Linked DNA regions of Drosophila melanogaster. The protein of the gene in region 1 interacts with the protein of each later gene in a pairwise test. Each region holds a gene or a part of one and is shown in the gene's direction. Other genes may lie near its edges.

Region 1 (4,204 bases):
GCTGCCTTCTTGGCAGGAATTGCCTTAGCTGGCGTAGCCTTTGCTGGAGCTACCTTCTTAGGAGCATCGTCTTCCGAAGAACTATCCTCAGTGGAACTGTCGGCCTTTTTGGTGGGAGCAGCCTTAGAAATGGGCTTTGCGAGAGTTGCTGCCTTTTTGGGTGCCTCGTCTTCAGAGGAACTATCATCACTAGAGGAAGCCCCCTTCTTAGCAGGAGCCAACTTGGCAGCAGATTTAGCAGCGGGTTTGACCTCCTCCTCTGAGCTGCTGTCTTCGGAACTAGAAGCGGCTGCCTTAGGAGCTGGCTTTGCGGCAGGCTGGACGGCAGGCTTCTTGGCGGCTGGCTCGTCATCGGAGTCGCTTTCCTCGCTGGAGGATGCTGCTTTCTTTGCCGGTGCAGCCTTGGCTACAGGCTTGGCAGCTGGCTTAGTCTCCTCATCGGAGCTGCTTTCTTCGCTGCTGGAGTCGGCCTTCTTGGCGGGAGCAACCTTAGTCGTTGTGGCCTTGACGGCGGGCTTTGCCGGTTCTTCCTCGGAACTGCTATCCTCGCTGCTGGACTCAACCTTCTTCGCGGGAGCCGCCTTGGCCGGAGGTGCCTTCACTGGAGCAGCTTTTTTGGGTGCTTCTTCCTCCGAGGAACTGTCCTCGCTGGAGGATTTTGCCTTCTTGCCGACAGCCTTGGCCGGCGTGGCCTTTGCTGCTGGCTTCTTCTCCTCCTCTGAATCGCTGTCCTCGCTGGTTGAAGAAGCTGCCTTTTTGACAGCCTTGCCGTTTGTTAGTGCAGGAGCTGTCGCTGGCTTCTTAGGCGCCGCATCAGACTCAGAGTCTGAGTCGCTGTCTTCGCTGGAGTCTCCGGCTGTCGCCTTGATTGCTGGGATCTTTTTGGGGCTTTTGGTCTGGTAGAACTGAAGGATTTCACTCAACTTTGGGCTGCTTTTGGCGACACTGGCCTGCAAGTTAGAAAAAGGCAGAAATTCTTGGTTATCTGGACGAAGCACGTGGCACTTGCAGCAAGTGGCAGGTGGACAGCTCGATGAGCCATCGGCGGACAGCAAGGCCCTCGGATTCTAGATCAGGAGGACGCAGATACCACATGTTTCGGGTGCATCCAAACCGCACATATTGCACTTGCCGCTCTGCACTGAAACTTACCGCCTTCGTCTTCTGCTGGAAAACCTTGGCTAGGTTCTTGTCCTTGGACTGCAAGTACTCCAGGACGATTGCATCGGCTATCTTTAGCAGGTCTGTCATGATTAATTCAACTATTCGTCAATATTTTCCGTCCGCAAATAATTACTAGCCGCTTGTCCCACAAAAAAGAATGCGCACTCACACGTGTTTTCTACTTATCAGTGGTATGGCAGCACTACGCGGCTGCCAACGGTGTGGCCACCCCTGCACCCCGTTTCTCAACACTGTCAATGCAGCGGGTATTCTTCCCAAGAATAACTCGAAAATGCCAATCAATTGTAATCATTTATTTATGCCACACCGACAAAGATCTTGAAATTAGAAATAACGCTAGGCTACGTTAGACAAAACTAAAATTACAAATTTATTGTTATATATGTCTATGTATATATATATATGTATATATATATATGTATATGTATATATGTAGACATATATAACAATAAATTTGTAATTTTAGTTTTGTATATATATATATATATATATATATATATATATATACATAGACATATATAACAATAAATTTGTATTGTTAAATTTGTTATATATATATATGTCTATATGTCTATGTATATATATATAAATTACTAAACTGTATTATTAAATTGTATTCAAACAATTAGCGTATATATAACATAATGTAAGGAACCTACGTTTTTTGCGTGAGGTATTCAGACCATCCACGACTGGTCACATTGGGGGAGCACCAAAATGTATTTTTGTTTGTTATTCAATTGAGTTGACCTGCTTGAAACGATCCAGAATACAGAAACTATCTCTCGCTCCGGCTATTTTAACAGACTCTGTACCTAGATTGTGTCGCGAGGATCGCATCCCGGGCCATGGCTTCCGAGCCGAGATCCCTAATTCTGCAATTGGACGACGACTGTCTGGCCGAGATTTTCGATCGCTTGCAGGACCTGCCGTCGGAAGTGTCCTTCGCGAGGACTTGCCGGCGAGTGCAGTACATATGTCTGAGCAAGTGGCGCACCAGCCATGCCTACGAGCAACTGGATCTGGAGAAGTGGCGGGTACTGTTGCCCAATCATGAAGACCTGGTCTACTTCCTAACCCAAATGCGTCCGTACATCAGAGAAATGGGCGGCAGCAGCTGTCTGTGCTCCATTCTAAAAGATCTGGACGAAATGCACATTGCAGAGCTGCCCATGGTGACCAGCTTCTACTACGACCCAGACGGCGTCGATTGCTATCCCACGAACCGAAGCATCCGCAAGCTGGCCCGCCTGCTGCCGGGCTTGAAAAAGTTGCGCCTTACCACACCCATCGACGGGCGGTACCTATCCAACTTCCAGCACCTGCAGGAGCTGCACCTCTACGAGGACCAGCACAAGGCGTTTGAGCTGCAGCAGAAGTACCTGGACGAGGTGTGCCGGTAAGTAGTAACCTTCTGCTGCATAATATTTCGCAACTCATTTTCCGTTTGCGCCACAGCACGCTGCACGATCTTCGGGTCCTGGACATTAGGACGTACGATATGATCAGTAAACTTCAGCTGGGAAACTGCCTGCAGAGCTTTAAGAACCTCACTGATCTTAAGCTCAATCTGGCCACCTTGAAACCCATTCTACCCGCCGTTCTGGAGCTGCCCTCCCTCAGGAAACTGGTGGTGCTGCTGGACAACGAGTGGCATATCCCCCCGCTGGTCAGTCCGGATAGCTATGACCACAAGATCCGCGAGGTCAGCGAGTTCTACGAGATCATGGCTTTCAAGGCCAAGGACATCGTCGGCTTTGCCGTGGACGGGTACTATATGCCCCTTGAACCGGGCTGGGATGAGAAGCTGCCCATCTGGACGCATCGCAGGCTGAAGCGCCTGGCCATTTGCAGCTGGACTCATTCGGCAGACTACCTAAAGCGCTATACCTGTATGACAGAGCTGCAGCTGCTCTGCGTGCGCAACTGGAATGACCTAAGCGACGAAATCCTCTTAGAATTCGTGGAACTCTGTCCACGATTGGAACACCTCGACGTGTCCTACTGCCGAAATCTGACGCCAACATTTTTGCCACGGGCCTTGAGTATTCTTAAGCGGCGGGAGCCGTTCAAGCAGAAGACGGGAGTTGGACGTTCGCCACCTCTGAAGCTCTACTACGACCTAAGTGGCTTTGAGGACTTTGTGGATAGAGCGGTTACTATTTCTTGTTTATGTCGCTCTTCTTTTATCTAATCAATCAATCCATTGCAGAACCTAAAGAGCTCTTTGGAATATAGAGGATATATTGTCTTCACCGCCGACTTTCCAGTCGACTCGGAACGCGGTCTGAGCTTTGTGGACCGCGGATACCAATTTGAATTTCACTGACCTCAAAATATGTAAATATACAAGCGTAGATTCATACAATAATTTATTATTAAAATTTATGTTGCACAAAGTACGCCAAATTGGATTATTATTTCAAAGTTTTGAGTGCTCCATGCGGACTTCCGTGTTGTTTTCTAAGGCTGTCCTTCACGTAGTGACAAAGAGCACCGTAGTTAAATTATTTAAATAAATTTGTTTTAATAAAATAAATATGAAAATGAGCTGACGATAACGTGCAACATTTTTACCTTTGTTCCCTGGGAATCATTTATAGCTATGAAATAGCTAGCTGAATACCCCTGATAATATGTATATTGCTACTGCCAGGTATAATAACTGTAAGATATAATTTGTAGTTTGGAAGTCAACTTGTTGTTTCCCCAAAAACTATAATGCAATCGATAGTGTAACTCCCGCTCCTATGGATATCTAATCTGCAGGCAAAAATTATTAAATTTGACATTTCAAGCTGAAAAACGTTTTTGAATTCAGAGCATAAGAAAACAGTGCTGTACATATCAGGCAGATCCTGAGGAACAATGATACGATAGGTGAAAACTCGGACAGCGATTGTGAGTACGGATTCCTTAATGTCCTTCACCTAGCTAAACCGAGTCCAGTTTCCAGTTACCATAGAAGACTGCAAAGCGGTTTCAAGCGGAGACATACTCGAGTTCCCTGGGGAGAACT
Region 2 (3,652 bases), on another chromosome or scaffold:
TGGTCGTCCTTGGTCTCGTTAACCTGCTCGACCAGGTCGATGCCGTGCATATTCGAGGGAGATGTCTGCAGATGTCGGAACAGGAGGTCCGTGAAGAAGTTCACGCCTTCTTCGCCGCCCAAATATTCCTTGACGGGTGTGTATTCGATTATGAAGTGCTTGAGCACAGCACAGACCACGGAGCGCTGGAAGAGATCGGAGACGGAGCGCAGGTGCTGGTTTGTCACCAGTCCATGGATGGCCCGGTAGTGCTCCTCCGGCGTCAGCTCGTTGTAGTTGAGGTCAAAGGCGCACTTGTCCTGGTTCTGCTCCTGCTCACAGAAGTCAATTAGCTCCTCGATGCTGGGAAAGATATTCAGCGCGACCAGTGTGGTGCGCAGTGCGATACAGTGGATCTTGTTGAACATGCGGTTCAGAAAGTCAATGATGGGGCACTCGTAGCGGTGATAGGTTTGCATGGCAATCGACTTGCACTCCTCGGAGCAGAACATCGTGGAACAGCAGCTGTCGCAGGGTATGAGGGTCAGATAGTTCTCCCGCTTGCAGGTGGCACACCGAATGTATCGCATCGGCGTCAGCAGTGTGGAGCAGAAGGGCTCCTCCACGGACACAAGATCCCCAACGGCCAAATCCCGATTGGTCACCACAAAGCGACCCTCGGCGGCGGTTTCGCGCAACTCCAAACAGTCGGCGATGAAGGGCACCTGGGCATGCGGTTCGAAACTGAGCTTGAACTCATAGGGCACCACATCCGGCGGTTGCTGATCGAGTAGCTGTTGGCAGTCCCTTTCTCGCTTGTCTAGTTTGTGGCTCAGTCTCGCCGGATAGTTGGCCTGCCTTGCCAGCTTGATATTGTCCAGGCATTGCCGATAGCGCTTCCACTCGAATAGTACCGCCGACCGATTAGCATAGCCGATGGACAGGTGCTCCGAATTCGGTTCGGCATAACAGATGCTTTTGTTGTACAGCTCTAGAGCCTGAAACGAGTCGCAGGGATTAGCTTAAGTTTGCCGATTGAGGGGGCAATGATTACCTGGAAGTAATTCCTGTTCTTGAGCGAAAACTGCTCGTTGCCCAGCATACGGAACTCCACGCTCCGCTTGTTGCACTTGTCCTCTCGAAGCGTTACATTCAGGAATATCTTTTCAATGTACTTGAAGTCAATAAGAGCGCGCATCACGAAGTCAACCTTGCGATGGTTCTCCTTCAGCTCGTTGAACTTGCCGGATATGATGCCGATTAGTTTCCAGTCCTGCAGCTTCTTTATCAGATCATCGCTCACGTCGTACACGTCCATCTCTTGTGCGGGGTAGTTTCGGAAGTCCTTAGTGTCCTGGAATTTTCTCCGGATCGGATTAGATCTGATCGGATGGCTTCGGATCCTTTGGTTCGGTCCGCGTGTCGACGCCGCCGCCTGTTTTTTTCAGCCGGAAAAAATGTTCTTTTGGCCCACTGCCGGTGCCGCGATTTCTTTAACTGGCGCAAGTGCTGACCGCTAATTAGCGATTTCACGGGCGATTACTATTCGGAAATATTCTAATTATGCACACGGCGATTTTAATGTTATTTTTTTGACGATTCCGCTGGAAGCAGTGTGGAGTATAGCCTGCGAATATATAACCCAGCACAGAGGGAAATGTACTAAAAAATGCCGCAAGTTGACTGCTTGCACTAGCCGCGACACAAACCCTTGGCCTAGCTTAAAATTGTTTACAAAAATATTTGAAATTTGAAATTCATTAAATAAAAACAGGATAAAAACTAACTATAAAGGCAGAATTTTGTAGGTTTCTGTTTAAATAATACAACGCCCAGCACGCTTGAATTGTGCCAAAATATATATGTTTAAAAAAAATATATATATATACATTATAAAAAAATATAACTGAGCTTTTGTTTACCGCTAGCTGTCACAGTGTCTCCACACCATTAACTGTAATAGGCGCCATCTTTTAAAGCCATTCCGAGTATGTGCACACTGGCGGCCGTTTCACTAACAAATTTCCTCTTCAAATCGTACGACGTTCTAGTTTTCTAAGAATCCGGGGAATTATTGGCAGCCAAGTTCTTTATTTAACAAACGCTCTGTTCTCAGGCGGCCGCCGCACCAGTCCGGTTCAAGTTGAAGGCAAGGGAATATTATTTTTAGCCAGTAGGCCACAGCTAAGTGACATCGTGTTGTGTCTAAAAATTTTGTTTGGCTGCGTCTGCAAATAAATCAAACCGATTTCGTATCAAATCTTGGGATCCAAATCAGCAGGAGGTGTGTACGAATAAAATTGAAAATATAGATATAAGCAAAAATAAAAATTTTTACGCAGAGATGCCCATCATTCGGCTGGAGTCTGCGGACAAGGAGATCTTTGACACGGATCAGGAGATCGCCAAGTGCTCGGAAACGATTCGCATTGCAATAGAGGATTTGGGCGATGAGAGCGACAACAGTGTGCTGCCGTTGCCGAATGTCAACTCGCTGATCCTGAAGAAAGTGCTCCACTGGGCCACCTATCACAAGGACGATCCTGTGGTTACCGAAGAGGTTGAGAACAAGGAGAAGCGCACTGATGACATCTCATCCTGGGACGCTGACTTTCTCAAAGTCGACCAGGGCACGCTGTTCGAACTGATCCTCGCGGCAAACTACCTGAATATCCAGGGTCTGCTCGACGTCACCTGCAAGACGGTGGCCAATATGATCAAGGGCAAGTCGCCGCAGGCTATTCGCGACACCTTCGCCATCCAGAATGACTTTCTGCCACAGGAGGAGGAACAGGTGCGCAAGGAGAACGAGTGGTGTGAGGATAAATGAATACCATCAACTTACCATGACGAAATTAAAGCTTAAATTTTTTGTTTAATCAACATTTCAATTGAGATAGTTAGCTGATCATGTTAAGAGTCAGCAATTGTTCTGTTGGGTTAATTAAATAAAATATTATGCTTTAATGTTGGCAAGTGCTCTTTAACAAAGGAATTAATGACAAACCGTTTAATGTAATTTACAGTGTTCTTCAATTTGGAATTTATATTTGATTTAGTTAATGTAGTTTAAAGGCCGTGGTCCCGATGGCATTCGCCAGATTGGTCACTTCACCCGGAATAGCTAACAGATGTGATGTCGACGGAGCCCAAAGCTAGCAGCAATCGGATGACGAAGAGGGCGATAACCACTTTGAGGACGATTCGCACGCAGGACAGCAACAGTCGGAAGCCGAAAAGTATTGCGTAGCACGTAGCCCCCAGGAACACCACGTATGTGATCAGATCGCCCAGAACAGAGTACATGGACGCGTTCCTGTAGACACATTCAAGGAACTGCGTGCCGCATTGTTCGCCATGTCCCCAGCCGTATTGCTCCCGTCCGTTGCCAATACTGCAGCTTTTCTCCATGTTTAGACTGACGTATATGCTGGATAAGCCGACAAATGGGACATTTCCTTTGTCCAGTGTGCAAAGCAAATCTTCCAGTTGGAAAAAATCAGCTGTCTAGTGTGACCGCATTTCGATCGTAGTGGCAGCACTGCATTTTTTCAAAACATCGAGGTATGAGAAATGGATAGAATTTTTATAAACGTTACTCGTAGAGTAAAAGGTATACTAGATTCGTTGAAAATTATGTATCAGGCAGAAGGAAGCGTTTCCGACCATAAAA

What was found.
Region 2: the proteins of CG7148 (region 1) and SkpB interact in a two-hybrid assay, tested with the Drosophila melanogaster proteins (2 studies listed by BioGRID).

What each region holds. Positions count from the first base shown.
Region 1 is NT_037436.4:21,829,926-21,834,129, reverse strand, and holds CG7148 (uncharacterized protein), read left to right. Parts: upstream 1-1,876; 5' UTR 1,877-2,033; coding exon 2,034-2,584; intron 2,585-2,643; coding exon 2,644-3,340; intron 3,341-3,397; coding exon 3,398-3,514; 3' UTR 3,515-3,586; downstream 3,587-4,204. Other genes in the region: Nopp140, read right to left, coding at 1-950, 1,153-1,251.
Region 2 is NT_033778.4:12,138,596-12,142,247, reverse strand, and holds SkpB (SKP1-related B), read left to right. Parts: upstream 1-2,018; 5' UTR 2,019-2,263; intron 2,264-2,321; 5' UTR 2,322-2,323; coding exon 2,324-2,809; 3' UTR 2,810-2,953; downstream 2,954-3,652. Other genes in the region: Smyd4-4 (SET and MYND domain containing, class 4, member 4), read right to left, coding at 1-977, 1,034-1,297; CG18343 (uncharacterized protein), read right to left, coding at 3,091-3,390.